Diceros bicornis minor: one gene and its partners. Each later gene encodes a partner of the first gene's protein in a complex. Links are inferred from orthologs where the notes say so. Each region holds a gene or a part of one and is shown on either strand. Other genes may lie near its edges.

The links.
Region 2: SF3B5 (region 1) and RBM48 share a complex: the UniProt entries of both Homo sapiens proteins name them as parts of the minor spliceosome. The link is inferred for Diceros bicornis minor from reciprocal best matches to the Homo sapiens genes SF3B5 and RBM48.
Region 3: SF3B5 (region 1) and SNRNP40 share a complex: the UniProt entries of both Homo sapiens proteins name them as parts of the minor spliceosome. The link is inferred for Diceros bicornis minor from reciprocal best matches to the Homo sapiens genes SF3B5 and SNRNP40.
Region 4: SF3B5 (region 1) and HTATSF1 share a complex: the UniProt entries of both Homo sapiens proteins name them as parts of the 17S U2 SnRNP complex. The link is inferred for Diceros bicornis minor from reciprocal best matches to the Homo sapiens genes SF3B5 and HTATSF1.

The regions. Positions count from the first base shown.
Region 1 is NC_080778.1:23,305,211-23,311,497, forward strand, and holds SF3B5 (splicing factor 3B subunit 5), read right to left. Parts: upstream 1,299-6,287; 5' UTR 1,221-1,298; coding exon 960-1,220; 3' UTR 604-959; downstream 1-603. UniProt on the Homo sapiens protein: Component of the 17S U2 SnRNP complex of the spliceosome, a large ribonucleoprotein complex that removes introns from transcribed pre-mRNAs.
Region 2 is NC_080742.1:29,966,907-29,975,029, reverse strand, and holds the start of RBM48 (RNA-binding protein 48), read right to left. Parts: upstream 3,326-8,123; 5' UTR 3,200-3,325; coding exon 3,089-3,199; intron 2,557-3,088; coding exon 2,366-2,556; intron 1,603-2,365; exon of another isoform or gene 1,428-1,602; coding exon of another isoform or gene 1,414-1,427; intron 794-1,413; coding exon 648-793; intron 1-647. Other genes in the region: peroxisomal ATPase PEX1, read left to right, coding at 3,558-3,686, 3,956-4,030. UniProt on the Homo sapiens protein: As a component of the minor spliceosome, involved in the splicing of U12-type introns in pre-mRNAs.
Region 3 is NC_080752.1:46,266,744-46,275,011, reverse strand, and holds the start of SNRNP40 (U5 small nuclear ribonucleoprotein 40 kDa protein), read left to right. Parts: upstream 1-5,133; 5' UTR 5,134-5,148; coding exon 5,149-5,292; intron 5,293-7,531; coding exon 7,532-7,661; intron 7,662-8,268. UniProt on the Homo sapiens protein: Required for pre-mRNA splicing as component of the activated spliceosome. Component of the U5 small nuclear ribonucleoprotein (snRNP) complex and the U4/U6-U5 tri-snRNP complex, building blocks of the spliceosome.
Region 4 is NC_080781.1:124,127,668-124,136,236, reverse strand, and holds the start of HTATSF1 (HIV Tat-specific factor 1), read right to left. Parts: upstream 3,549-8,569; 5' UTR 3,366-3,548; intron 3,182-3,365; 5' UTR 3,127-3,181; coding exon 2,941-3,126; intron 1,227-2,940; coding exon 1,046-1,226; intron 394-1,045; coding exon 346-393; intron 1-345. Other genes in the region: BRS3 (bombesin receptor subtype-3), read right to left, coding at 8,490-8,569. UniProt on the Homo sapiens protein: Component of the 17S U2 SnRNP complex of the spliceosome, a large ribonucleoprotein complex that removes introns from transcribed pre-mRNAs.

The DNA of each region.
Region 1 (6,287 bases):
CCTTTGCTCAAATGTCACCATCTCAACGGTCTAACATGAGCATCTTATCTAAAATTGCAACTCTGCCGCTACTCCCATCCTCCACAGCACCTTCTAACATTTGCTTATTTACATCTACAGTTTGTGTGCCCCCCCTCCCCTCCCCCCACCGCCAGTATAATGTAAACCCCCAAAGTGTGGAAAAATGCCTGCCACATAGAGCTCGACAAGTATTTGTTGAATGTTGAATGAATGAGAAAACTCGTTTGACAGCTTGTTATTTCTCAACACACGCCCAGAGAGTCCCAAGAGTAGAGAGGATGCAATTTACAGAGAGAGTAGAGGGCAATGACCGTAAAGATTTTTTGAACAAGAGAACAAAAAGGTGTGATGCAATGATCACAAACCTCAATACTGAAAGCACTACCGGACTGAAAAAGGCTCTTGGGAGAAGTCGGCGGGTGGGGGGCATATGATAAAAGTTGTCCAGGGCGGATTTAAGCGCCTGGCAATGTACCCTGGCCCCGCGCCCACCCCCACCCCCACCCCACCCTCTCACGAAACCACAGTCCCCAAAACCCTCCCTGGACCCCTCCACCCGATCACAAGTAGTCCACACCAAGAGACCGAAAAACTTCTAAACTTTATGGAAAAGGCAACAACGACAATCAACCGGCCAAAAACGAGCCTCCGAACGCCGTCTCGCTGCAGTGCCGTGTCCCCTTAACGCTGGCTGGCGTTGGGATCTCTCCAGGGTCGCGGTCCCCAGGGGTCCTGACGGTCGCCCAACGCCCTGTTCCGAGGCGTCCAGAGGAAGGCAGGTCGGGCGAGACGCCGCGGGTGAGCGCCTCTGCACCGGGAAAGCACGGGGAGCAGCAGCCACGGAGAACCGGTCGCCCCGGGGCGGGAACGCGGGGAGCCACGGCACACGGGAGGGACGCGGGGAGCCACGCTCCGCCCGGCGGGGACCCGGCGGGGTCTCAGTTCTCCTCGGGCTTGTCGGCCGGCGGCCCGCAGGGCTGCAGCATCTTCTCCATCAGGTTGAAGCGGACTCGCGCTTTGCTCTCGTTCTCCGCAATGGCGAAGTAGTTGAGAAGGTCGAAGTGGCCCATGTAAGAGCAGTAGGAGTCGCGGTGCTGGTTCACCAGCCACTCCCACTTGGTGGTGTCGGCGTGGCCCGTGCCGATGTACTTGGACTGCAGGTGCTCCAGCTGGCTGTGGATGGTGTAGCGGTCCGTCATCTCGCCGCCTTCCCGCTGGATCCCAGGCAGAAACCGCGGCGGGCAATGGCTGCTCTAGCGTTTCACGCCGGAAAATGAACACCCCACCGGACCTCTAGGACTGCGCCGTCGCAGGCGAATGGCGTCACAACGACGGAGCCGCGGGGACTCGCGGTCCTAGGGCTCAGAGGCGGAAGCGGAAGCGTATTCCGTCCCGGATTGGAGTTGCCTAGGCGACGCTACAAGTCGGGCCGCCCCTACAGAGAGCCCGCCCCCTTCGTAGAGCGTTGCATGATGGTCCATTTAGCGGCGCTTTTCCTAACCGGGAGCTTTGCATGCTGGGACTTGTAGTCTCCCAGGGTTCGTGCGCGCGGGCTTTTGGGACCCATCGCCTTGGTTTAGGAGGCTGTGGGCGGTCTGATGGAGGGTGGTGTCTTGGTGGCGGGGAGCATCTTTGGGCGGTTTGGGGCTGCGAGGAAGTAGGACATTCAAGTAGGACAGGGCTACAAGCGACTGGGAAGATGAAGTCTTGGTGTAATTCTGCTTTTGGAGCTAACGTGACAGCACGGTAGCCCCTTCACGACCAGGTGAAATCAGGAGACGCGGGTTCTGGTCCCAGCTGTGTTGTTTAGAAGTTGTGTGGAGTGCAAGTCAATTCAGCGCTAGCAGGGCCGCCGTTTCCCGCCCGGTGACCCGTTACGACGCGTTCTGGCCCTCACATCGGGGTCCCCCTTCCTTATTTTGACACCCTCCCTCTGACTCCCCACCTCGCCCTACACGCCCCCACCTGCGCTTCTCCGTGTTCCGTGCTGCTCGCCTCTCCCGTTCTTGGTACAAGCTGTTCCCTCTGCTTGGAATGTCTTTGTTCCCTTGGCAAACACTCTTCCCTTGAAGTCAGCTCGAAAGCATCTCCTTGAAATTGGCTTTGGCCACTCCACACGTGTAAATTCTCCTTCCTCTTTGCATCTTGGACGCTTCGTTATTACCGCTTTATATCCTAATTTTTGGTTTAAGGACTTCCTCACGCGAACGCAGACTGCTTGAGGAAAGGAGTTGACTTTTTTGGTGGCATCTTTTCTCGTATGCTTCTTTGATGGTATCTGTTTAGGGTATCCTCATAGCCTGGCAGAGATTACGTTCTTAAAAAACGTTTGATGAACGGATAAACAGCTGTATTAGAGCCAAATAGAAGAAACTCGTTATTGGGAGAAAGACAACTTTAAAATATTTTTTATTGTGGTACAAAGTTGCAGTTATGTAGGATGGCTAAGTCTAGAGACCAAATAGCACGATGACTATAGTTAATGCTATGTTGAATACTGGAAATTTCTTTAGAACGTAGATTTCAGGTGCTCTCACCACATACACACACAAGAAGGTAACTATGTGAGGCAATGGATATGTTAATTAGCTTGACTGTAGTAATCCTTTTTTTTTAAATAATTTTATTTATTTTTTCCCCAAAACCCCAGTAGATAGCTGTATGTCATAGTTGCACACCCTTCCAGTTGCTGTATGTGGGACGTGGTCTCAGCATGGCCGGAGAAGCCGTCCGTAGGTGCGCGCCCAGGATCTGAACCTGGGCCAGCAGTAGCGGAGCGTGCGCACTTAACCACTAAGCCACGGGGCTGGCCCATGTAGTAATCCTTTCACTATATCAAATCATCATGTTGTACACCTTAAATATATGCAATTTTTATTTAAAAGAAATTAAAGAAAACGACAAAATGTTCCTTATAGGATCAAATGCTTGTACCAAAAATGAAAAAAAAACAAACGTTTTATTCTTTGGTTTAACCTTTGTTATAACAAACATGTCATTCCTAAAATGTAGAGACTATTATAAGGCATACTCGTGGACTCACCATCTAGATATATCAAACCTTGCCATTTTGCCACTTTTGTTTCCATCTTTGTTCTTTTGTTTTGGCTGTGTTTTTTTAAGAAATAAGACTATACAAATAAACTTGAAGTTCTCTGTGTTCCCCTCCCTAATCTGTTCACTTCAGGGTACTATCTTGAATTTACAGTTAATCATTCCTGAGCCTCTTTTTTTTTTTGAATGCTGAAAGTTTGTGTATCCATCAACAGTAAGTATTATTGTTATGCATATTTTAAAGCTTTATATAAATGATACCCGGTATGTATGTTATGTAAGTTGCATTTTATCATAGTCAGTATCCATGTTGATATATGTAGCTTTAGTTAACTTTTACTATTGTGCAGGATGCTACTGAATTAATATACCATAACATCTCCATTCTCTCTATAATGGACATTTAATTTCACGTTTTTGCTATAAGAAGCAATGCTTAATTGAATATTCTTGTACATATGTTCTTACACACGTGAAGGAGTTTCTTTAGCGCATATATATAGGAATAAAGTTGTTGAGACATAGGAATGAATGTCTTCAAGCTTTGCTAGATAGTGCCAAATTGCTCTCCAACATCGGTTATAACCAATTAGCTGTCCCACCAGCAAACTAAGAATTCCTTTTGATCGACATCCTTCCCAAAACTTGGTGACCTCAGACATTTAAACATTTTTCAAATCCGAAGGGTGGAATGGAATTTGATTGTGCCTTTAATTTGCATATCACTGCTTACTAGGGATACTGGGCATGTTTTTTATGTGTTTATTGGCCTATTAATTTCTGCTTTTGTGAAATGCATATTCATATCCTTTGCCTATTTTCTTATTGGGGTGTTTGTCTTTTTCTTACTAATTTTTTAGATCTTTATATGTTCAGGATACGAGGCTTGCCAGTTATACGCAATGAATATATTTTTTTCCACTCTGTGGCTCATCTTTAACCTTCCTTTGTGTTATCTTTTGTTGTACAGAAGTTAAGTTTAAAGCAGTCACATGTATCAGCTTTCCTTGATGGTTTGTGCTTTTTGCATTTGGTTTGAAAAATGAAATCAAGCAAAACTCTTTTCTACCCTGGGGCCAGCCATAGAAAGTAGTTTCCTTCATTTTCTTCTGAAAGTTTTAGAATTTTGGTTTTTCATATTTAGAACTTTAATCCACCTGGAAGTTTTTGTTTTGTTTTGCTTTCGGGATCAGGTTTTTTGATACTTTCCTGTATGGCTGGTTAGTTCCTAGTGATAACCAGTCGTTTGTTAAATAGTACATCCTTTCCCTACTCATCTTTAGTGCTTCTGTTGTATATGCATAGGTCTGTTTCTGGGATCCTGTTCTATTAGCCTCTTAGTCTGTGACCTACACTAGTAACACAAGATCTTAATTACTGTACCTTTGTAATAAGTCTTGATACCCAACAGGGTGAAAGCCTATACAATATTTTTCTTTCATACATGTTTTAACTTGATCCTTTCCTCTTCCACATGAATTTAGAATTGTCACTAAAATCCTCACGGAAATTGTGATTGAATAGTCAAACAAAGCCGTGAAAATTAATATTGTTTCTGTATCATTAAGAGTGATTCTGAGGATATGAGAGAATTCCTCAAATTCAAAGGTCTTTAGAGATGGAAAATACATTTACATGTATTAATTAAGAGCCAAGGTGTATTAGTTTGCTAGGGCTGCCAAAATAAAGTACTATAGACTGGGGGGCTTAAACAATAGAAATTTATTTCCTCACAGTTCTGGAGGCTGGAAGGACAAGATCAAGGTGATGACAGAGTCGGTTTCATTCTGAGACCTCTCTCCGAGGCTTGCTGATGGCCATCTTCTCTCCGTGGCTTCACATGCTTTTCCTTCTGCGTGTCTGTGTCCTAATCTCCTCTTCTTATAAACACACCAGTCATATTGGATTAGAGTCCACCCATACGACCTCATCTTACCTTAATTACCTCTTTATAGGTCCTATCTCCAAATATAGTCGCATTCTGAGCTACTGGGGCATAGGACTTGAACATATGAATTTGGGGGGGGGGGGCGCGTACAGGACACAATTCAGCTATAACCGTTTTATACAGTGATGTGGAGTATATAAGGGAACTTGTTTCATTTTACACATTTGTAAATTTAATTAATTAGATTTGTGAAAATAATTTAAGTACGTGAAAGGTTTTATTTGTTAAATCAGACAATTACAGTCTTTACAAGGAAATGAAATGTATTACATTACATTCATGAGTATGGCTTAAAATGTTTGAGAGTTAAAATTTGGAGTTGAACTAAATTTTATCCAAAGGCCCCTTAAAAGCGATTGTGAAAATTTGCTAGACTTAGGGCCGGCCCCTTGGCGTAGCGGTTAAGTGTGCGCGCTCCGCTGCTGGCGGCCCGGGTTCGATCCCGGGCTCGCACTGATGCACCGCTTCTCCGGCCATGCTGAGGCCGCGTCCCACATACAGCAACTAGAAGGATGTGCAACTATGATATACAACTATCTACTGGGGCTTTGGGGGAAAAAAAAGGAGGAGGATTGGCAATAGATTTTAGCTCAGAGCCGGTCTTCCTCAGCAAAAAAAAAAGAGGAGGATTAGCACTGATGTTAGCTCAGGGCTGATCTTCCTCACCAAAAAAAAAAACAAACAAACAAAAACTTGCTAGACTTAGAGTTTAGGATTTTTAGCTGAAGTTAAAAGCTTAAAGAAAAAGGCATCTTTTCAATTTATAACTAATAAATTAAATGTTAACTTTTAAAACCTAAGTAAATCTCTGAATAGTGCTTTCTGCATTCCTCCAAATGACCCTCAAAGGCAACAAAAAAACTTCCCATTTGATAAGGTCAGCTTGCAAATAGCACAAAGACCCTGCTTCAATTTTAATTGTAATTACATTGACTTTATAGATTTATTTGGGGAGAATTGTCATCTTAACTATGTTGAGTTTTCTCATTTATGCACGTAGTATATATTTCTATTTACTTAGGTCTACTTTTTTTACTTTAAATAAAGCTTATATAATTTTCTCCGTATGGGTCTTCCACATCTTCTGTTAGATTTATTCCTGGTTCTCTGCTGTGTATACGTAAAGATGTTCCTTGTGAGTCTTAAATTGTGACCTAGTGAGAAATATCACAATTTCTTACACTTATTGCCAATAGAGAATTTGGGTCTGGAACCGGTGACCTCTTTGGCAAGACATGCCGGGAGAGCTATTACTGTTTCACAC
Region 2 (8,123 bases), on another chromosome or scaffold:
TCCTATAATCCATGTACCAGATCCCATGACTCTATTTCAGGCAATTGGAATTTGTCCAGAGAAACTCAGTTGGGCATATGGGGCATCTGGCCAGCTGCTGGTCAAAAGTGGAATTTTTCCACTTTTAGCAGTTTTAGATTAGCAGTTGGTAACTGGTCTACAAATCATAATTGTTTCTCACTGGCTTTAGGTCAAAGCCTTAATTCCTTAGTACGGGACACAAGGCCCTTTATGATTCACTTCCTGTCTGGCTTTCTAATCTTCTCTCTCACTGAAGCCCCTGTGTTGTGGTTACCCTGTACTACTCAGAGTTCCTTAAAATGTATGATGCTCACTTATTCTTCTGGGCCTTTAAACATGCTACCTGGCCAACCTTTCCATCTCTTCCTCTCCCCTTCTGGGTAATATCTCCCTATCCTTCAAAACTCAGCCACCTCTTTCGTCCTGTAGGAAGTCTTCCACCAAGCAGCCTCTCTCTCTTCCCAGCCCAGGTTCTGCAGACTGCTGCACAGAACTCTGTAGTTTACAGTTATTGAATATTGTGATCATTTACTTGCCTCTCTTCCCACTAGACTGAGAGCTCCATGATGATATACCTAGCAGAGGCCCTGACACATAGGAGGTGTTTAGTAACAGGCTTTCCATACCTTTATTGTTAGTAGTTCTTGCTACATAAGCCTTTCTTTCTTGTAATTTTTTTCTAGTTTCTTCAACAGTCTCAAATTCTGGAGCGTAACACACATGAAGCAATCCACCAAAGAAACTCTGTTCATCCATTTTCCTCTTGGCTATCCTAAACAGAAGTACATGATAGCATGGCTGATTAATCTAGATTTACTTAGGATGAAAGCTTAACTAGTATACAATGCATTGATCTAAAGACCAAAGTCCAGCTTTTGCTATGTGTATGTACATCCCATGGTTTGGGGATTAAGAGGCTCTGCTTATGGATGGTATTGACCCTACTGATTCAGTGTATACTCTTAGAGCCTTCCCTGCCCTCTCCCAATAGTGTTAACAGGTTTTGAGCTAAGTCATCCACACATATCCAGACTCCTTTTAACCAGCTCAGGATCCAGCAGTTAGCCGGAGGTACACAGTCTGTGATCATGAAATAGAAATCTTCTCTGTGTTAAGTTAAATGGCCCTTCAGAGTTAGCTCATACCCAATTTAGCCTTTTCAGCACAATGTATTCCTATAAAGGGATTCATATATAAAAAATTAATTAAAATACTGTAATTGTAAAGCTTTCAATAATTGAGGAAATATTGAATATATAACTAATCAACGAGAAAATGAGAGAATAGTATTCATTCAACAAACACTTATTAAACAACTACGACTGGCCAGGCACTACTATAATAAATACTTAAGTACTTATATGCCCAGGGATAACGAAAAGAAATACTTACAGAGATTTTACCATGCACCAAGCAGTGTCCTAAGTGCTTCACTTGAATCAACACTTCACAACAACCCTATAATACAACTGAGGACTGGGGAGATTTATAACTTGGCCACACTCACATTAGTTTATGGACCTAGGATTCAAATCCCAATGTTGAACTCCACAGCATACTGTACTAGGTGCTGCAGGAGATACAAAGAAAAGGTAATTCCTTAACCATGAGGAGCTGGCAAGCTGGTTAGGGCAGTGAGATTACATATAAGAGCAACCTGAGAACAATACATGATCCCATCAAGTGTTTTTGTGGCAGACTACAACTGCTATTTGTAGCACAGAAAAGAAAATATTAATTGTAATAGCCAGGGAAGGATGGGTGTTGGAGCAAATCAGTGACAACAATAGAGGTATACCTAAAAACAGACAATGCATTTCATACTTCAGCCTTGTTGGAACAGAGAGTTCATGTTACACAGAAGGCTGGAAAAGATGGGGTCCATCCTCATAGGCACATAACAATAAGAACCTCAATAGCTAATGTTTATTGCGTTCTAAACAGGAGGCACTATGCTAAGCCTTTTATAGGGATTATCTCATTTCATCTCCACACAACCTCAGTAAGTAGGCCCTTTTACCACATAGATTTTAGAGAATAGGAAAAACAGGCTTAAAGGAATTAACTTGTCCAAGGTCATGATGTTAGTAAGTAGGGGAACTGGAAAACTTACTCCAAACCCAATTTTTAATCTACACACTACACGACAGAAAACTGCTATGCATGGGAATGACATGATGGAAATAGTTTTGACAAGGCTAACATTCAAGAAGAAAGGAGGAAGATAATACAACAGGGCCATGTTAGGTTATTGGGTAATTCAGGTATGAATAAAAGAAACCTTGGGCCAAAATGATAGCAATGGAAATAGAGGAAATGAGACACTGCTTAACTGGCATATTACCTTGCACTTTGTAAATTCATAAATTTAATAAGATAAACTTCTGTAAAGTCTTCTGCTGGATATTCATCTAGAGCATTATACTGTTCAATTGCACCATATAGAGCAAATCGCTCAACTAATTCCTTCATCGCTCCCACTGCAGGAACTCCTTGTATTAATAAGTATCGAGATTCCAAATTGACTGTATATACCTAAAAGAAACGCAGACACATTAAACGTATTTTCTAAATAAGCCTAGGACAAATCTGCTGTTTTTTAAAAAAGCTTTGAAAACAACAAATACTCTGTTCAGTCGGTCTGCAGGAAACAAATCAAAAATTCTGCCCCTCTCTCTGCATAAAGAATAATTCAGCCCACGTGTGAGGGCCTCTAACTAAAGCACAGACAATATTCCTTCGACATGTATTCCAGAAGTGGGCTCCGTAGAAGTTACTGGAAAGAATTAACAAATATTCACTTGCCGTATGCCAAGTACTACTGTAAACATGGAAGATACAGTGACTAAAATAAAGGCCCGTTCTCGCGGAGCTGACGTTCTAGCAGCTGACCAAAAGGGTCGTGAGAATCTTCGGTACCTGAGTACCAGTGTTACTCATACCCATCTCCAATGAGTGACGGATATGACCGCAGCCTTTCAAGCTTTTATTTACGTAAACTAGGCTTGTGGAGCTAGAGCTCACATAAAGTTACCGAGGACAGCGAAGGAAACCAAAATCACTTTACCTTGACAGCGCGAGGCCGTCGCCCCTCCCGATACTTGGCCCTTGTGTCGCATACGGCCCGCTGGACGTGGTGGTCGAATACGCCCCCAAGCTCCCGACCACTCGACGCCATCTTGCCGGTTTGGGCTCTTGCAAAGACGACAACATCCGCCTCGCCGCACTGCCGTGTATCCAATAAGAGAGAGGGATAGGTCAAGGCGTGCCGGGATTGGCTAGAAATCGACAGCGGGGGGCCATCGTTTCCTGCGAGCGAGGACTCGGTGCAAGAGGTGCCGCCCCCAGCGGCGCGGCGGAGAGGCGCGCAGAGCGGCACAAGGCTTGCTTGGCCGTCCCCCTAGCGGAGCGCGGCGAGAGGCGCCGCGGGCACAGGGGGCGGGGCGATCGGCCGCCTCCGGCTCCGAGGCGCTCGGCCTGCCCGGGCGTCCGGCGTCAGCTGGCGTGGGCGGCCGGGGCCTCCGGGCTTGCTGACGATGTGGGGCAGCGATCGCCTGGCGGTTGCGGGGGGAGGCGGAGTGGCCGTGACCGTGGCCTTCACCAACGCTCGCGACTGCTTCCTCCACTTGCCGCGGCGCCTCGTGGCCCAGCTGCACCTGCTGCAGGTAACGCGGCGGCCCCAGACGAGGTTCCCAGCCCCGACTCGGGGCACCTAGTCGGCAGTCTGGGGTCGGACGGGGCCGAGGTCTTGCAGGGACGCGGCGGCCGCTCAGGCCTCTCCCGGCCGCGGCCGCGGGCTGCCTTCCCGGCGCCGCCGAGCTTTCAGAAGCCAGTCGGAGGGCCCCTCGAGGGCAGGGCCGGTCTGGGCAGTGTCTGCAGCCCTCTCCATGTCCAGTGCAGCCCCGGGTCTTCGCGTTACCTTGCCTCATTCCAGGTCTTTTCACTCGGTGAAACTGGGCTTTCAAACATCCTAATATTCTACCTCTGCCTTCAGATATCCTCACTCCAGGTTGGAAAAGCTCTTGAGAAGTCGTTTTTGTTTTTGTTTTAAATGTTTTCCCCGGCAGCGATTTCCAGGTGCCTGCACTGCTGTGGTCCGGGCCCCCGGGGGGGAGTGGTGTGCAAATATGTTCGCGGAGCCCCTGTAGGTTAACAGGGACTAAGCACGGTGTCCCGTGAGCGGGATAGGTTAATAAAATGAAGGTTCTTCTCTGTGTCTCCAACACTCAGAACACCTCCGAGGGGTGCCAGGAATGTGCAGTGGGATTATGCATATTTGGATGTATGTAATTAGGTATACTTGAACCTCTGCTGTCAGTCGCCCTGGTGGACGTTGTGGTGGTGGTGGTTCATACCTCTAACCACTGGTGGAGTAACATCAGCCTATTTTCATAATTAAAACTAGAGGCACCTAGTGTACGAGTTTGAGTGTGCTTATGGGGACAAAAGGATAGAATATTGGAAATCCTCGGAAATCCTGGATGCATGGTATCCACCACTGGCTAATCCATGCAGGAAATATTTAAGAGTTTGCAGTAATTTCAAGTATCCAACCTTTCCACGTTAGCTACTTCCCCATAACTATTTTTCTAGATTATTGCGCCCCCCCTCCCTCCTTTTAGAGCATACCAAATTCAGCAGATCCTTCCGTTATTTCTTTTACCATAAAGTAGACGATCTTTTGGCCCTGATGAGCTTCCTTCATGGCTGGAAACGAGTTAGTTAGTGGCAGCAAGTCTCAGGTGGACCCTGCCCCGTGCTCTGGGCTTTGATGGAGATTTTCAACATGCCTTCAAATCCCCACCTAACCAGTTTATAGGAATAGACTCCCCACCTAATGAGTTTATAGGAATACTTCTTTACAGCAACTCTAATAACTTGATCTTAAGATGTGGATGCTCTGTTACATTCATCACTATTTAAGAATTTAGTGGTCTTGATCTTTCTTTTAAATTTTGACCCTTTAATAGTTATTCATAAGGGCCGGCCCCATGGCTTAGCGGTTAAGTGTACGCGCTCCGCTCCTGGCGGCCCTGGTTCGGATCCCGGGCGCACACCGACACACCGCTTCTCCGGCCATGCTGAGGCTGCGTCCCACATACAGCAACTAGAAGGATATGCAGCTATGACATACAACTATCTACTGGGGCTTTGGGGGGAAAAAATAAATAAATAAAATCTTTAAAAAAAAAAAGTTATTCATAAGAATTAATTCATGGATCTCTTTTGAAACTTAAATCTTTTCTGCCTTGGAATGAATTGTTTTTTCTATCCAGCCTACATCAGCAGAATAGGCCAACTTTTCTCCCCAATTATAAAATTAATACATATGTTTCATAGAAAATTTAGAAAACAAAGAAAATTATAAACAAGAAAATAAAAGTTACCCATAATCCCCAAACCTAGAGGTAACTAATATTAGCAGTTTGGGCCACATCTTCCAGTTTTGTTTCTAATCTTTATTTTTAACGAAATGAAGTCCTACACACACACGCATATACAGTTAAAGGTAATCATCATTTTTAGTGGTTAATTAGTATTCTATCATCAATTTGCCATAATTTGTTGAATTGTTCACTGTGATTAAACATATATGTTGTATTCAATTTTTAGACATTAAAAGTGATACTGTAGTTACATTTTAATAAAAAGTTAAAAATAGGGCTGGCTGGTGGTGTAGTGGTTAAGTTTGCATGCTCTGCTTCGGAGGCCCGCGGTTCATGGGTTCGGATCCTGGGTGCAGACCTACATGCTGCTCATCAAGCCATGCTGTGGTGGCATCCCACATACAAAGTAGAGGAAGATTGGCACGGGTGTTACTGCAGAGACAATCTTTCTCACCAAAAGAAATAAATAAGTAAATAAAAAGTAAAAAATAGCATATCTTTGTTTATAAAACATTGTTTTCACTTCTGGTTATTTAGGTTCTCAGAATTATTGGTTTAGAGGGCATAGATAATTATTAAAGCAGAAAGTCACGAGTTGGGAGTTAGTAGGTTGAATTATTTGGGCTAAAGTATTGAGTACATAATACACATAGTGCTGTAATGGTAAGAGGGTCAGAACAATGGTTTTCTGGCCTGTGTGAGACTTACCTTGAAGCTTTGAAAAATACAGATATTCTGGCCCTTCTGTAGACCTACTGAATCAGAATCTTGGGAAGTGGGCTTCAGGCATCTGTAATTTTTAAAATATCTTCAGGCTACTTGGATGCACAAAAGAGTTGAGACTCACTCTTCTAGAATCATAGATGTTGGTGATGAAAGGGACCTTAGGTGTCTAGGTCATTTCTGTACACATAAGGAAACTGGCACTCTCAGGCTGGTACCATTTGCATGCTGTTAATTTGCCATCTTGTCTAGAACTCACTCTGTGTCATTCAGACTAGCCTTCTCACTTCTCACCCAGCTCTCTTCCACTTCTGTACTCTTACTCACACTATTCTTCCCCAAAACATTTTTCCTTATTCCATGCTGTTAAAAACTGAGCGTAATCCTACCTCCTCCACATAGCTTTCAGATTCTCTCTTGCCCACATTTGTCTCCTTTTCAGAACTTCAGTGCTGTTTATGTGACACATCTCACTTGTTACACTCTGTTCTGTGTTTCAAGTATTGTCTTCTTTTGTTTATCCAAGCCTTTGTTTCAGGATTAGGTACGCAGTAGATCCTTTAACTCAGGATTTCGTCACTTTGGCACGGTTGACATTTTAGGCTGGATAATTTTTTGTTGTGGGGGCCTGTCCTGGGTATTGTAAGATAATTAGCAGCATCCTTGACCTCTGTCCACTAGATGCCAGTAGCACCCCTCCGCCCAGTAGTGACAACCAAAAATATCTCCAGACGTTGCTAAATGTCTCCTGGGGATCAAAATCACCCTCAGTTGAGAACCACTGCTTTAGGTCGGTTACTTTGTCTGTACTCTGGGCTCACTGCTTGCTCTAATTGCTAACGGGGGAAAGGATTTGTATCCATGCTGAATGCAAACAAATGAACCTAAATCGCCATCCAGAAATGGCCGGGTATAGATTTGTCATTTCCTTTGTGTTAGCAAGAGATAACCCAGGCCTCAGACCTGGCCAGGTACCACAGTGTCTGGCCACACACCCAGTTATGCAAGGAGTGTGAAATAGGTAGTGAAGAGACCAGAGAAAAGACCTGGAGACGGCGTACGAGACATATAGGTTTATTGGGACTTATGTATAGGGAGTGTCCAGGGGCAGCTGGCTGGACAGAGTTGTGCACCTGCTACTGTGGGCAGAGAGGGGTTGTTTATATAGGCAGGGGACAAAGTCTATGTGCTTGCCAAGAGAGACTGCCCTTGGTGCAGCCAGCGTTCCCTGGAACAGCAGCTCACGTGGAAGGGCTCTGTGTTCCTTCAAGACATGATGTTCTTTGAGTGAGATCTGGGTTGGCCAGGCCATCCCAGCTGGTTGGCGTCCTGCCCAGGATGGGGCCAGGAGGACACAGGATTGTAATAGGGCACGTAGGTTATTGCTGAGCAGGCAAAGCCCTACACACAGGTTCGGGCAAAAGCGGGCAGTCAATCATTTGTTGATTAATCTCCTGGAAAAGAGACTCCTTTCTCTCCAGTCTGTTTGTTCCTCCTCTCTACCTGAGTGCCCAGGGGCTCTGTGGTTCAAGTGAAAAATTGTTGACATAAAAATGGACTGAGGACATTAGTCTGCAAAGTTTACTAAATCCCACTAAACATGTGTTATGACTTGATGGAGCTGGTTACTACATTTTGACCAAATGAATAATTGAAGTATTTTTCCTGTTTAATAAAGTTGATTTTTCCTTTTTCCAGTGTGTTGGTGGAATTCTCTTTTTTGATATTTCAGAGTGTATTTCATATTTCTTTATTTAACCTCTGGTTTTAAATGTTTCTTCGTATGACCTGAGTTGATCTGGATTAGACATCACTGACTCTGAGGAAGCCCCTTGGAAAGCACCTGGAGGGTTGGTCGCCTTCACTCTTGTGACCTCAGCTCACACTGTTATAGCTGACATAGTAACTTAGGACTTTTGGCTGCAAACCTAGGGCTCTTTCTGCTGTATCACACTGTTCTCAGTGGAAAGATTTTGTCTGCCAGAGCAGTTG
Region 3 (8,268 bases), on another chromosome or scaffold:
AGATTCCAATAAGGAGTGATCAGAGGGGCATCATTCATAGAGGAGGACACGATGAGCAGGGTCTGGGTTCATTCATTCAAACACGTAACCAACGGGGCCAGCCCCGTGGCTTAGCGGTTAAGTGTGTGCGCTCTGCTACTGGTGGCCCGGGTTTGGATCCCGGGCGCGCACCGACACGCCGCTTCTCCAGCCATGCTGAGGCGGCGTCCCACAAACAGCAACTAAAAGGATGTGCAACTGTGACATACAACTATCTACTGGGGCTTTGGGGAGAAAAACGAGGAGGATTGGCAATAGACGTTAGCCCAGGGTTGGTCTTCCTCAGCAAAAAGAGGAGGATTGGCATGGATGTTAGCACAAGGCTGATCTTCCTCACAAAAGAAAAAAAAAAACACGTAACCAAGGATCATTTCTTATTTGATTTTGTGTTCCCAGTGCCTAGTGTACAGCAGGTACCCAAAGTTTTCTTGAATGAGTGAACAGAGCCTTATAATGTGCCAAACACAGGTAGAGAAAAAGGAAGAAAGCATTCCAGTCTAAAGAATGTAGGAGAAGGGGGTCCAGCCCGGTGGCATAGTGGTTAAGTTCACACACTCCACTTCAGCAACCCAGGGTTCGTGGGTTCAGATCCCAGGCACAGACCTACACACTGCTCATCAAGCCCTGCTGTGGCTCCATCCCATACACAAAACAGAGGAAGACTGGCACAGATGTTACCTTAGGGACAATCTTCCCAAGCAAAAAGAAGAACATTGGCAACAAATGTTAGCTCAGGGCCAATCTTCCTTAAAAAAAAAAAAAAAAGAATGTAGGAGAAGAAACTGAGTTCCTCACAATATGCTGGATGGGTCAGAAGATGGGAGACTATCAAATGCCAAATTAGTGGCCCAATCTTCCTTCTTCCCACCAAATTTCTGGAGTGACTATCTTAGACAGATGCTTCTTCCTTTTTTAAACTCCAGTCATGGATCTGTTGAGAAAATGGTCAAAAGCAGGAAAGAGAAAGAATAGTAAAAAGAAAGGAAAAACACAAAACATGGACTCATAAAATGTGAAAGTTGAAAGGAATTATGGAGATCATTCAGCCTATTACTCCTATTTAACTGAAAATGAGCTAATAGAGGTCAGCTTGACAAAGGCTGCCCACAGTTAGCCACGTTTGTACTAGACCCCAACACCTGTTCTTACGCTACTACCCCACACTGTTCTTTCAGTCAATAATCCCTAAGGTCCTTTCCAAGCTCTCTAACAATAATAGCTAATATATGAATGCTTCCTATTTGCCATGTATTAACCTAAAAGCTTTACTTGTATTAACTAATTTAATTCCCTTTTTGACCACCCTAAGAGATAGGCAATTATCGTTGTCATTTTACAGATGAAGAAACTAAGACACGAGAGAGGCTAAGTAACTTGCTCAAGATTACAAAACTATCAATGATGGAGACAGGATTCAAATCCTATTTACAAACATTTTTTCTTCCTTTTCTAGATTATGAAATTCTTCCAAGCATGCCGTTGTCTTGCACATCATATCCTTCAAATCTCTAGAGCCTAGCACAGTGCAAAGCACATAGACATTTCTGTCTACTGAAATACTGAAGTACTTAATTTTACCCTACTTTAAACTACCAATTCAGCACATTTATTGATGTTTATATGTCAGGCACTTCATAAACCTCCTTCAATCCTTAAAGCAACTCTACAAAGTAAGTATCCCTGTTTTACAGGAATGAAGTAACTAGTACAAAACTCATAGCTAGAAAGAGACAAATCTTAGGCCATTCCAAGGGCCACACACACTTGCCACTAAACCACCCTTTTCAACACAGTTCCTGTCCTCAAACACTTCCTAGTTTGGTAGAGATAATGGTGACCAATTACAATGCAGTATGATCAGTGCTAAAACAGCAGCTAGGTTCAAAGTACTAAGAAAACAAGAGGAAAAGAAGGGCCTAGGGGAAGCAGGGAAGTTTAAAAGGTAACAACTGAGTGGGCCTTTAAGGATAAATGGAAGTCCTCTGGCAGAGAATACTGTTCTTTGACCTCATTAGAACCCTGATCTATTGACTTCTATTTTCTTCTAATCCATCAGCCCTCTCCTTTTACCTCAACTTTTCTCTCTTTCCAGCTTAGATTCCACAGTCTATCATTCAAACAACACCCTGAGTTCCCCCTAACTCTCTGTCATTACGGCTCACCTATCTGGCAGTACCCCCACCAGCTGCAGACACCAGGACCCATTCTAGCTAGGTTAAGCAGAAAAGGATTTATTGCCAGGTATCGGCTTACAAAACTACTGGAAGGGCTATAGGAAGTTCTGGTAGAACTTCCAGGAACAACTCCTAACCCAAAAAATAACACAGTCTTTGTCACAATCAAGAAAGTTATGGCTATCATTGCAGAAAGTCACTAAACCAGAAAGCTGCTGACTAAAGAAACTCACTGCCTCTACCATAATATTTGCCAGCAAAACTGGATGCCTCTCACACTCCTTCTCTCCACATTTAACTCAGTTCCAAATTCAATTCTCATCTTAGGTGCAAAGGAGCCAGGAAATAGTTTTTAGCACCCCAGACTTTTCTGTAAGAGAAGGCACATTAAAGGTGGGAATGTGTGTTGAGCAAGCCAAACCCACGGTCCTTGCCATATCTGCATATGTTTTCTCCATGTCTGCATTGAGCCTGATGTTGCTGGAAATAAAATATGATCCCCAACTTCATATGGGCCCATAACTCTGCACGACAATTCTACATCTCTCTGGTAAACCCATTCTCCCACACACTCTACAATGATTTTCAAATCTTCTGCAACCTTCTCAAATCTCTGACTTCCTCTCACTCTAAGTATATGATCCTATCTCCTACTTTACAGAGAAAATAAAAACCATGAGAAAGGAACTCATTTTACCAAAACCAAACATAAGAACAACCTATATCTACTGCCTTCACTTCCTTCTTCCTTTCTGTTAAATGGAGGACTGTCCATCTTCCCAAGGCTGCTCCCTCTAACTGTACTTTGCATCCCATCCATTCCCATGTTCTCAGAACACTATCAATGACCGAATTTGTCTCTTGTGTATTCAATTTCTCCATCGCCCTCTCAAGTGGATTCCTGGTGACCCCTCATCTCCTTCGGCTTCCACATCCTCTCCTCTCATTTACAATCATATGTATGAAAAACACTCTTTAGATTCACTGCCTCCGATCCCTTGCCTGAATCTTTGGCTTCTGGCCCCATCACACCAACAAAATAACTCTCGCTAAGGATACCATGAGCTCCACGATGATACAGCCAACACACATTCTTCAATTCTCGTGTTTTTTAAATTCCAGTTTCTGACACTGGCCATTTCCTTGTTTCTGAGACAACATTCCTCTGGTGCTCCTCTCTAGCTCTTTTTTCTCTTCTTCTCCTGTAGGTTCATCCTCCTGTTCTTGGACATTAAATGCTGGAACTACTCAAGCTTCTGACTTAGGGGATCTTACCCACACCTATCGCTCAATTATCACCTATATGCAAATTACTCCCAAATATATATCTCCAACAAAAATCTCTCTTCTGAGTTGCAAAGCCATATTTCAAATTGCCTCCTGAAGTCATGAATGACCTCTCCCTTCTCTACCAATGAAATAAATACTCTGTTGCATAAGCCAAAAACCTAAGAGTTATCTGTGATTCCTCTCTTTTCACTCCCTGAATCCAAGCCATCGCCAAGTCCTACTGACCCTACCTCCCATATATCTCTAGAATCTGTCCAATTCTCTGCAGTTTCACCAATACTTCAGTCTACACCGCCAACAACGCTCACTTAAAGGGTCTATCTGCATCTATCTCTCTTCAGATCTGTTCACACTACTGAGCCTGAGGGATTAAGTTACCTCCTCCACACACTCCCTCCCCCTCAAAAAACTACCCTCAGTGGTTTCCCATCAGTCTTCAAATAAAAGCTACAAAGTCCTGCAAGGTCTGCCCTCTACCGGCCTCCAGCTTCATCTTGGACCATACTTCCCTTCATTCTCTTTGCACTGGCCACACTGGCCTCTTTGTGCCTTTGAGGCATTTTCCTCCCATTTGCCACAGGGCCTCTGCACATGCTGTTCTATATGGAATATTCTGCCTTCCTCTCTTCACCCAACTAATTAGAATTCTTTCTTCAGGCATCAGTTCAGGCATCTTCTCCTCAGACAAGCCTTTCTGCTTATTTCAGGCCCTCATAACCTCAGGCACCTCTCCTAGACGGCACTTATTTCACATTTCTCAGGGAGATCATTGTTTAACATCTGTTTTCCCCACCAGACTCGAACCGCTGAAGTCAGGGATCACATATCCTCAATGCTTTGCCAAATAAATATCAATTGGACGATTAAGGAGAAGATCTATTTCACAGGTATAAGTCCAAATTTCTCAACAAGACTGCTCTGGAGAAGCAAGAGTCGGACTTTTCCTCCGTCCCTGTCTCTCTCAGGGACACAGAGCAGGCCCTAGGAGAGGCTGCAGAATCAGTGGCAGAAACAAGTCGGCCTCCTCACTCAGAGAGGATCCAGGCCGTTTCTCCCCGGGGGCCTCCGGCACCGGACTGGACACAGTAGCCGCCTGCTGAAGGAGTCCGGCGTCGAGGTGCCCAGGCAGCCGCAGCGACCCCCAAGGCTCTGCTCCAGCACAGAAAGGAAACCAGGCTACTACCCCCCAGAGCCAGGACCTTGGGGCCCGCCTCCGCCCCTCGCAATCAAAACTTCAGCTGAGAATGGGCAGGCTCAGACCATATCACCGAGGCGCCGCCTCCAGATTCCGCAGCCACCCACCCCGACATTCCTCCTACTTACTCTCCGTCAGCTGCAGGTCCCCCGGCCGCAGCATTGCGCGAAACGCCGCAACCCAGTCAGCGCGGTTCCACCCACAAGACACAGCGCGCCTAGGCGGGACTGCAGTTCCATCCACCAATCCTGGAATCGTACTCTCGTGACATCAGAGACAGCTAACCAATAACAGGAGACTATCCAGGGGGCGGTGCAGAGGGGAATATTGGAAGTCGATTGGTTCCTCCAAGCCGGAAGTTCTAGGGGAAGGACTAAGTCGGAGCCAATCGCGCGGTGCCTGAGGGTGTCGGCGCGGTCAGTGGCTGCGCTAAGGAGAGCGGTTGCCGCCATGATAGAACAGCAGAAGCGCAAGGGTCCAGAGTTGCCGCTGGTCCCGGTCAAGCGGCAGCGGCATGAGTTGCTGTTGGGAGCCGCGGGGTCGGGCCCCGGAGCGGGGCAGCAGCAGGCGGCGCCCGGAGCTTTGTTGCAAGCGGTGAGTGAAGTGGCAGGCGGCCTTCCGCCCTCGGCTCATCCTTCTCTCTCCTCGGAGCGTTGCGCCGGGTGATCTCGCGGCGGCCCTTTCTCCGCGCTGTGGGGGCGGAAGGAGACTCGGTATCTGGAGTTAAAGCCGAAAACGTTGTAAAAGCGGCCGACACCCTGCAGATGCTCCTCACGTTTCCCCGTTTGACGCCGGTTTTCGGCGTCTCGACCGCCCTGTGAGGTGGCGTTAGAATTAGAGTTAAGGATCTTGAGCTCAAAACCGGCGTTAGCATCCTAAATCTTCCAGGATCCGGCGTAAACATTCAGAAAAGTTTGTAGAATGGATGGAGGAAGGAAGGAAAGAAGGAAATGAGTGATACTGGATCGCTTTGGGACTTTGGGCAAGTTGCTTTTCCCTTTATTTCTGTGCACTAGTATTAACAACTGAATAATAGCTAACCTTCATTGAGCCCTTGTACCAAGTGCTTTATATGTGAAAACTCCTTTAACCTTGGTAACAGCTTAAGAGTTAGGAACCATTATTATCCCATTTTGTAGCTGGGAAAACAAACTCTTATCTAGTAAGTGATAGAAACAGATTTTAAGCCCAGAATCCATGCGCTTAACTGCATTTCTTGTAGGTTAGAGATAATGATCACATCTTTCCTTCCGTGCTGTTAGGCTCGGATGAAGAAATACATGTGTGTCCCCCCTCTCTCAACTCCTCAACCAGCCGGTCGGCAAATCCTGTTTGGTGTTGTCCTCAAAATATATACAGAATTGCTGTGGCCTCCATCACTAACTTGTGGTCTAAGCTATTATTATCTCATTATTATTATTATATACTATTATGTTGTTATCTGATTATTGCTGTAGAGTCCTAACTGGTATTCCTGTTTCTGCTATTATGTAATCAGTCTATTCTCAATCCAGCAGCCAGAGGAGTTCTTCTAAACTGGCAGATCATGTTACTCTCTGCTGAAAACTTTCAGTGGCTTTCCACTTCACTCCGAGTACAACTAGAATCCTTACAGTCTTTTGCCGGCTTTGCCTTTACGTCTCTGATCTACCAATTTTCCATTGCTCACCCTGCTCCAGTGACACTGGCTTCCGTGCTCCTGCCTCACAGCCTTTGCATTTGCTGCTCCCTCTACTTGAATACTCTTCTTCCAAATGTGTGCATGGTTTACACACATCTCCAAATTTTTGCTCACATATCCCTCTTTCAGTGAGGACTGTCCTTACCAGCGTATTTTAAATTGCAATACCTAGTACTCACTAACCCACATTGCTGCTTTTTCTGTTGTACCACCATCTGTAGGTTCTAGTTGTTCTCTCTGTCCCTCCCTCCTTCCCACTAGAACACAAACTCCATTGTTTATTTTGTTCACTGCTGTTTTCCCAGTGCCTAGAACAGTGCTTGGCACGTAGTATTTTTCTTAATAAATGAGTAAGCTGGAAATTACTGAAGAGATTTGGGGATTATTGATAGTGTACTTATTCTTCCACTGACAAGTAAGAATATCAGCCCAGGTTTCGGTGAATTGCCCAAGAGTAGGCTTATGTTGAGACCATAATCAAAACTACTTTCCCCAATAATCTGTACCTTGCAGGGTTGTTGGGAAGCTCAGTTCAATCATTCATTCTTTAATTGAACTAGAGACTGGGAAAACAGTGTTGAATGACCCAGGCAGGGGCCCTGCACTCACAGAGCTTCTTTTCTAGTAGGGAATAAAGACAAAATATGTAAACAAATACATAAGGAGGGTAATTTCAGGTAGTAATAAGTGCTGTGAGGGAATACAGTAGGGTTCATGGACTAGAGGGGCAGTGGGGCACTGCTTGAGTTTGAATGATCCAGGAAAGACTTTCTGAAGAGGAAACATTTGAAAGGAGCCAAACACAGGAAGATCTAGGGGAAGAGGATTCCTGTCAGGGGCAACAAAAGTGTAAAGATCCTGAGGCAGAAATGAGCTTAACATGTTTGAGCAATTAAAAGTTGGCTATGGGACAGGAGCAGAGTGAGGAAGGAGGAGTGTTAGTATAACAGGTAGACCCTGGAAACCTCAGCAGGAGAGTATCAAATTGGAGGTGTAAGTTATGTGAGAAGAGCTGTCATTCTCTAAATCAGAAGAAATTCGTTCACTCATTGTTTCCCTTGTCTTTTTCCTCCACCCACCCCCGCCTCCACAATTGTGCAGCCTCCTTGGTCTGTATGCAGTGACTACCCTGTACCTCTCTCTTTTGTGTAGGGCCCTCCAAGATGTTCCTCCCTTCAAGCCCCAATCATGCTTCTCTCAGGACATGAAGGGGAAGTGTACTGCTGCAAGTTTCACCCCAATGGATCCACCTTAGCATCTGCAGGATTTGACCGACTAATATGTAAGGCATAGTTTTTGAATCTGGAGTGATCGCTCTCTTCCCGATAGTGATTATTTTTAAAACCTTCAGTGCCACAGAAGGTATCAGTCTGAGTTGGTCACATGACAAACTACAGCTAACATGCTAAAATAGGATCAAGAAAATGCTGAATAATCTTGGGTGTAGAACTTGGGGGTCCATGTGGTAAATACAGAAGGAATTACGTTACTAGTTAGAAGGTGAGTTGCTGTAGTTTGAGACTATCTTCCTCATGGAGGCAAATCTTGAGCTGATTTTGCAAGATAAGAGATCCATGTTTAACAGGTTAATGGGAGTAATAGAGAACTTTTTCCCAAAGGTATGAGGCTCTCCTCCTGATCCACTTTCAGAATCTTAGCATATAGGAAGGAAGGAAGGGATCCTAAAGTGACAACTCGCTTGGATAATCTACCTATACATCATTAGGATCTGCTACCAAATTCTCAGCTACTAGTCGGGAATACCCGTTTTTGAGGAATAGGTAGAAAAAATCAGTTTGGGGAGTCATTAGGAAAAGCAAGAGAGAAGATAACAGAAACATCTGACTTTTTGCCTTCTGGCATCGTTTGCCACATTGTGAGATGAATTG
Region 4 (8,569 bases), on another chromosome or scaffold:
ACATCGTCTAACGACACGTTTCTCAGAACGTATTCCCATCGTTAAGCGACACATGACTGTATACATTAAATTATGCTTTGCTTAGGCCTTGTATCACTGAACCTGAAGGGGCAAAGCACCATAAGTTACCTAAATCAGACAAAAATGATGTCATGCAAAATTACATACACATAACTTTTCTTAGTTTTGTAATAAATAACAAACATATTCCCTGCTAATTAAAACAGCTAAAAATATTGGCACGATGATAAAAAATAGATTTAGAGAAACTGAAAACAAAATCACTTCACAAAAAATCTCATCAAATATTTTCTATTCTAAATTTGTTTAAAAAGGTATACGTACCCGACACGTATACATTTGTATTTCTCCCTTCTTCAACATGAAACCATCCTAAAAATCAAAATGAAATAAATAAAACACATGCAAGAAAAGGTAAGAGTCATAATATGAAACCTTGACAACGTGGCAGTTTCTCAAAACTTCCAGGAACTTTTCCTTACCTTTAGAACAAGACAGACTAACTCAAATCACAGTCCAGCTTTCAAAGATTTGGATCTTTTTACAGATAGTTTCAGAGCCTTGTCTGAAAAAAGATGGCTAACTTATCTTGGTTCTTTATGATTCTGATACTAACTTAAAAAAAAAAACAAAAACTCATCCTTGCACTGACTTTAGGCCCTGGCATGCATAGGTTGCTTCTGACTCCAATCTACTGTGTCAGACATGGCCAAGATGAAACAAGATTGACTTGAGTTCAATTTAATTAAACACAAAAAAATAATCTTACAAACAGAATTTTTGATAATCCCCTAATAATAGTTCTATTTTGCAAAGGAAGAAACTGAGGCATAGAAGTGAAACAGCCTACCTAATACTCACAAATTAGTGTGAGAGCCAACATATAAACCCAAATAATAACTTAAAAAATCCTCATCTTACGATTCCTTCAAAGCTATTATAATTATCCAAAAAGTAATTATATATACATACTCTCACAATTTTTAATTGTTACACTCATGTTTTGCAAGCTAAATCCACTTGCCTGATTCGGCCTTTCTCTTTTCTCCCCTCTTTTTGGGATCACTGGGTTCAGGGGTCTGTCTCTGCGGAGGTTCCTCTACAGTCCTAGTGCCGACATCTTGTACATCTGCAGTAGAGCTAGACGCGCCATCATTAGAAAAGCCGTAATTGGCCTGATACGTAGCAATGAAATCTTCAGTGATCTAAACAAGAAATTTAGTCCACACACATACAGAAATTAAAAAATAATTCCCTCCCATAAAAAGTTTATGCTGTGTTAAATTACAGCACATTCAGTTATACAAGTTAACACAGAAGTGCTTCTGTAGATAATAGTTATCGTAATTAAAGTGTAAATGCAAGAATAGTCACCTTATATAGAAAACTGTGCATAAAATGATAAAAAATAAGAAATGGGTACTTGGATTATCAAAAGAAAAGTCTGAGATACTACTAAAGCATTTTAAGTGATGTTGGCACCTTTCTAGTTGTTTCATTTATAAATTACTACCTCTCTACAGTCTAGCTGACTAAGGCTACAAGTACGTGGAACAAAGCAACTATCAGGTAACAATAAAAATAAAAAGCAATAGTCAAGTAATAATCTAACAGAATCAATTTTTCTTTTACTATATAGATGCACAAAAGTACATGTACACTAAATTTTTAAATATCTGTATGCAAAGAAGACACAGAACTGAACTGTGATTTGGTATATGAAGAACAGAGCTAACAATTGTAAAACGAAATGCTTATTCTAACTCTATCACTAATTAAATCACATTATCATTTAGTGTCAGAACAAATTAAGTACAAACCCAACGCACATCTATCCTCCTGGCTTTTAGGTAAAAAAAGCACAATTGCACAATGAAAGAAATGCAGTTATATCTTCATACTGATCAATGTTAAACATACATAGGAATGGGGAAAATTTTAAACTCAAAGTTTGAAGAGGTATGGGCTTTCATAACTTAAAAACATAGAGTCACAAACTAGTCCATTACCAGACTGTTGTTAAAACTACTCAGAAGGCTGAAGAAACCAAGTCTGCACTGGAGCTGGCACTACCAGGACAGAAGCGAAATAAAAAATTTAACAATTTGGAGGGAAGGGAATATATACACAAATACAAAATGAGAAAGAGAGAAGTTGAAATAATCTTTTAAATAACAGTCAAATTACACAATGGAGACACGGTTGTATTGCTGGTTTGCAAGTCAATTAGTGTGCTATGGTTATCCTCGTGTCCAACCCTAAGAGGCTGGTTACCAGGATACTTCTACTGAAAAGTTCACAGAACCAAGTTTAACACCAGTTATTTTACTTCCAAGCTGAACCAAAATAATTAACAATGTCCAAGTACTCTAAATAAATATACACAGATTTTTCCATCCATACTCTGTGCACTTCTACTCATATTCCTATGGTTATATGGTTCAAACATTTGTGTCTAAGGACAAAATTTAATAGGAAAGTAAAGAGAGGTGCAAAGTTCAATCAGTAAAGATTTCTAAATGACTACTCTTTTTTTCCCAATCAAGAAGCTGCATTTTGCACATAGTATATAAGCTAAACATCTGCATTCCTAGGATAAATGAGTTGAGCTACTAAATTTGAGCTTGGTGTTTCTCCTCTTTGCAACAAAAAGCAGTTACCAATGTAATAACCAACTGTGACCTTCACAGGTAATATTAATAAGGCATAGAAAAGATTTAAGAATTAAATACATTTAAGACATCTTCCTAAAGATTTAGCTTCCTTTACACATCGGTTCTGCAACAGACACAACAAAACAAACGTCACTATCCATGCGGGCTCTAACCTAGGACCTCAGCAAAGAAAACGTCAAAGGAGCGCCCCGCGAGGCTGGCCAGGCGGGCCCGCTCTGCAGTGGCGCCCGTGCCACTCTCTTACCTTGGGGAACCAAGCCTTCTTGTCCAGGTCCCATTCGTAGGGGGTGTCAGCCGGCTGCTGCCCGAAAGAATCGGGTTCCCCGCCGGGATCTTTCTGGGTGTTGTCGTCCTTGGTGTCTCCGTACAACTCTTGCATTCGCAACTGCTCATCAAACTCCTCGTTGCCATCCAAGTTGTTGCCGCTCATGTTGCCGACTTAGCCCGAGGGCAGGGTCCAGGCGAGCGAAGAGGCCGAAATGACGCTGGAGAGGCACAGAGAAAAGGCGGTCGGCTGCGCTCGGCCCGCGCCCCGCAGTCCCCCGGCCCGCCTCCCCGCGGCGCCCCAGCAGCCCCCGGGAAATCGGGGCCGCTCCGCGGCCGCGCCGCCCCCCGCTCCGCCCGCCGCGCGCGCGTCGATGCTCCCAGCCCGGCCGCGCCGCCGCCCACCTGGCTCACTCCGCCGGGCCTCGGCGCCGCCGCTCGATCCAGGGCGCGAACGCTGCGCGCCCGCGCGCCGCCGCCGCCGCCGCCGCCCGGGTCTGAGGCGACTGCGGCTCCCGCGGCAACGTCAGGAAATTACTTGAAAACGGAGGCCCGCTCAGGCTGACGCAGTCGCCATTGTAGGCGCGTCGCGACGTCGCGGGTCGCGCCGACACGCCCACCGTGGCGTCAACAGGCGCCGACGCGGGCAAGAGGTGCGGGGGCCAGAGGGCGGGGCGCCGGGGGTGCCGCGTGATAATGGCCGCCCGGGCCGCCTCAGGGGGCAGCGGTACCTCCGGCACCTCGGGCTCCGCCGGGTCCGCGGCGGGCAGGGCCGAGCCGGGCCGGTAGCCCGAAGGCGTGGGAATGTTCCCACTGGGCAGGCGCCGCGGCGCGCTTCGGGCGGCCGCCATCTTGGGGGAGTGGATGGGGCGGACAGGACAGGTTTGTCTTGCTGAGAAAAAGACGCGCCTCCTTCGCCCAGAGGCCCCTCCTCCGCGTGGGAAACGAGTCTTTTACTTGTTTCTTTATAGTTTCTCTAGGATAGGCGCCGGCTCTTCTGCGTCTTGGTAGCCTCAGTTCCTAGCACAGGGTCTGGGGTCTAGCGCGTACTGAATGAGTGAGTGAAGGAATGAACGAAGGAACGATGGGTAGAAGAACCAACCTTCTTTTCCAAGCCTCATCCCCTCCTTTTTCTCTCCGGTACCTTCTTCAGGCTGGAGATGGACTCTGTGGAAAGGGAGGGAGGGCAGCAGTTGCCTACCTCTCATGCTCCATGATTCAGAGATGCTCAAGCTGCAAACCTGAAACTTAAATGTAAACATCCAAGTATAAACACCAGCTTTGCTGGCCGACTAACTTCATTTTTTGTCTTTCTGTTGGAAAGACACGGAATGCTTTTCCTCTAAACAGAACTTTTTCCCCGGGAGTTATACATATTGCTGAAAATGAAGAGGTCTGTATTTTTTAATCGGGCAGGCATTTATTGGGTTCCTACTAGGTACCAGGCACTGTAGTAGGCTCTGGCGAGCCAGCAGTCAGCAAGACAGGCACAGCTCGGGGGTTACACACTTAGGTTGTCTGGGACATGATAGGATAGAAGAACTGGACGCTGGAGAACAGCGGTTCCCAAACCTTTTGGTGTTGGTACCCCTTTACACTCAAAAAATTATTTAAGACCTCAAAGAGATTTTGTTTATGTGAATCATTCTTATCAATATTTGTCACACTAAAATTAAAACAGCTATTTAAAAGAATATTAATTCCTTTAAAACTAACAATAAACTCATTATGTGTAAACATAAATTTCATAATGCATACTTGAGGGTGGGGAAAAGCTTCCCAGAAGAAGTTCTTTTTACTCTTCTAGTGACCTTTGCTTCTAAACATAGCGATTGAGTATGGGTTCTAGAAAATCCTAACTCCCCAAATACTAGCTGTGTGAATATAGTTTTAACCATAACAACGATTTTTAAGTAGTAGCTTGAGTTTAGGTTTTTTTTTTTTAATTACATTTCTTTTTCATGGAGTTCTTGTTTTGGTGGAGACTTTTGGAGAACTGCACTTGCATGCATTTTTATAATATAGATAACATCAGTTTTGTTAGGTTCATTTAAGCATTGCTGAATATTTCTTCTTGGCTCCAGAAATAGCATACAGCTGTTTTCAGCAATGTGTTGTTGGGCTCCCATTTTATTCCTGAGTGAGATCACAGCATAGGTGATAATATGCTATACAGCCCTACTGCACGTGACACTCTGAATGCCTGCTATATCCACGGGCCCCTCTGAGCAGGTGGCCAAAAAGGTTCCTTATGCCTACGTCCCATGGGGCCCAGCCACCCTGACCCAAAGGCTGTCCAGAGGTGTGTGAGGGGACCTGGCAGGGTAGCCGTGCTTTCTAGACAAAATTTAACTGACTGAGCCAATAAGAGCGTCTCCCCAGGAGAGGAATGAATATGGAAGGACAGGGACATGGTCAGAGTAGCACAGAAGCAGGGGAGGGCCACACAGGGAGGGTAATAAGCAGAACAGAGGCCTGCTGTGGAGAAGTTCCCCAGTGGTGAGAGCAGAAGCTGAGGCAGTGACAGGGTCACTGAGTCACCATCATAGTGCAGCAGTGGAATTGGGAGCTAAGCACACTTGTACCTACAATGGCGTTCTCTTTGGCCACGAGACCTGACAGTTTTTTTTTTTTTTTTAAACAATGCTGTTGTCTCTATGAGGGCTGGTTCCTGTTTGTTGTTATTTCCCTGTATAGTCATAGAATTAACTCCCTAGTAACTGAGGAAATCTGGAAGTATCTCTGTCTTCATAAGACAGAGAGCTTTTTTGCAAGTCACAGAAACACTCAAGGTAACAAGCAAAAACGAGGGAGCTTTATTATTATGAAGATAGAGAGTAGCTCCTGAAATTCCAGGCCTGGACTGTAGATGGGCCACATGAGGGGCTGCTGGACCCAGGAAGCCGAACCAGTCTCAGAACCTGGACAGCGGCTTCTCTCTGAGTATCTCCTTCATCCTTCTCTCTTTGACCTCTGTAAGGGGTGATCTGTGCTGTACTCCTGATCTAATAGGCCAAGGCCTTCTTAGTGGATAAAAATATAATAACCTACAAAGCAGAGATCTCTTGGTCAGAGAAGTCACCTACCTGGCGTAGGAACTCTTTCTGGAAAACTACTGAGCTATACCAAACTAGATTTTTTTTTAATGGCCCATTCAAGCTTACTCTGTTCGGGAATTTTCCTGTCCCCACTTTCTGTAATCTCAAGACTTAGTGGAAATAAAAGTAACTCTGTTTGACAAAATGATTGATGGATCCCTGACTTAAGATGGTTATAACTGCAGAAATTCTTTAAACCCAAATTTGCTATTTTCACTAGGTATGCCAGTGTTAAATATTTTGTAGTGCTTTCAGCTTCAGTGACGAAGACTTGCCCATCGAACGTTATGGTTGTGCCTAAGTATGTTTTGTGGCTTTGTTTTCCTGCTTGGTAGCATATTATTATGGTCCATCATTCTAAGTCTTGGGTCATGGCAGACCCCGAGCAAAGTTGAGAAGTATACAAAATTTGTTTTTCATGTGTCCCACCTCTCCACCCATTTAGGACCATCTCCAAAGAAATGAAATCTTCCAGAGTAACATTTCTGGCACCACAATAGGCAAGGTGAAAGAAATTGTGAATATTGGGGCCTACTTGTATGGTTAGTTCTGACAAGGATAATCTGTTAAAAAAAGAGACCACTCCCTCCAAAAAAATCCAATCAAAGCCATGAATTTTAATCTTAATTCCCCAACTCTGGATGGGAGGCTGATGCCCTATAAGATCATTTAGAGAATTATTTTATGTCAGATCCCTAAGTCACGTAGGGATTACTGAGCATGAAGAAAATGAAAGTTCTTTGAGCTCTAGCTTTATCAACTGCTAAAAGGCTCTCTTGGCTTTTGTAATCTGGTACTTTAATCAAGTTATTTCTAAACTGTTATGCTTAGGAGAGTAAAGATGTAATTTTTACCCAGAGTGAGGAAAACAGTCAAATATTTTGGAGTTTGGTGACTTGAAAATCACTTAAATTTTCGAGTTAAATGGGTTCTCAGTTATCTTCTGTTGGAAGTATTGTTTTTAGAATATAAAATTACATAGTCATTTAAAACTTTATTTCACATTTATTTATTTCCCCCCTTATTACAATGTCCAACTTAAAACAATACAAATACAATACTAACACCCCCCCACTTTGACTAAACTGATTTTACAGAAATGTAAAGTCTAGTGTTAATATATATCCCCTTTTTGAGCCACATGATTAGCAAAAGTTCACAACTACACAAGCCATTTAAAGAAAGCTCGAAACTACCAAAAGCACACCCCAAAATCAAGTTTTTGAAAATACAAATTTAACTACCTATAGTGCCAAACATATGCTTTAATTTGCCACAAGAAAACATTTTCTGAAACCACAAATCTGAATCTATGTCTATTGACAAAAATTATTTGAAATAACAGTTATGAACAAGCTTATAGCATTAGCAAGTAGGAGCAGAGGAGAGAAAATCAGAACCTTCCATCTGATTTCCAAGGGCAGAGACTAATTAGGTCATACTCTTACAGGTTTTAGGCACCCATCAAGTTTAATGAAGTCAAGCAGAAAGATGATCTGATAACAACTGTGCACCCAGGTGTTAGGGATTTCCTGTGGTACTTCTGCACTTTTTAGAAAGAGGGCACTGCTTACCAGAAAGAAAGGAATTTCCTTAGAGGAAAAATTTCAGACACTGGTAGGCTTGCACATTTTTCAACACAGGTCCTTCCCTGGAGCCCTCAAATGACGCGGTAAACGTGGCCACTTATTCTGCCTGTGAATAAGGCAAGTTATTCACAATATTTGTGAAAGATAACTTTGCCCAATTATCAATCAATGCTGGTTGTAAGTAGAACCACATTAAGTCAGTAAGTGTTGACCCAGTAAGGCAAGCCCCCTGCCCCAGATCCTTACTCAGTATTGTACTTTATACTCGCTGACCCCAAAACACTTGCCTTGCAATGCACAGCTTTAGTTTTAGTGGAATAGAGATTAATGGAAAAGGGCAGTCAAAAAACCTGTGAAGGTTTATTTTTTAGGATTTTGTTTTTCAAGAAAGCGACAGAAGAGATGTTTTATCTCTCTTTGATCCCCTTTTCATATGCAAGTATAATCTCTAGATTTACACCACATAATAAACACAAACACAGTTTTATGCAACTCACAGGAGTATATGAGAAATAAGCATCATAGATGTGATGGAAACAAATCAGAGTTGTAAGTGTCATCTTGTTTATTTTACCTTCCCTCCTATTCAGCCTCCCTTACTACCCACTGACGTATGCAAATATGTCTTTCTATACCTACTGAGGCTTCACTTTATTTAGAAAGCCCAATGACGTTAATGTTTGTACGTTGAAGAAAATCAGTTTGTCTTTTACTTATCAGGATCCCTCACTCCTAAGATTTCAGCACAATTCACAAACAACACAAACCCAACCATACACCTACGCACAGCTCAGAGTCGGATACACACGCTGGGAGGAAAAATACCATTTTTAATTGAAAAGCTAGACTCTGTCGTCTTCCTTCTTCACACTACACCCGGTGAACAAGGTCACACTAATTTCAGACACCTGCCTGCTCCCAG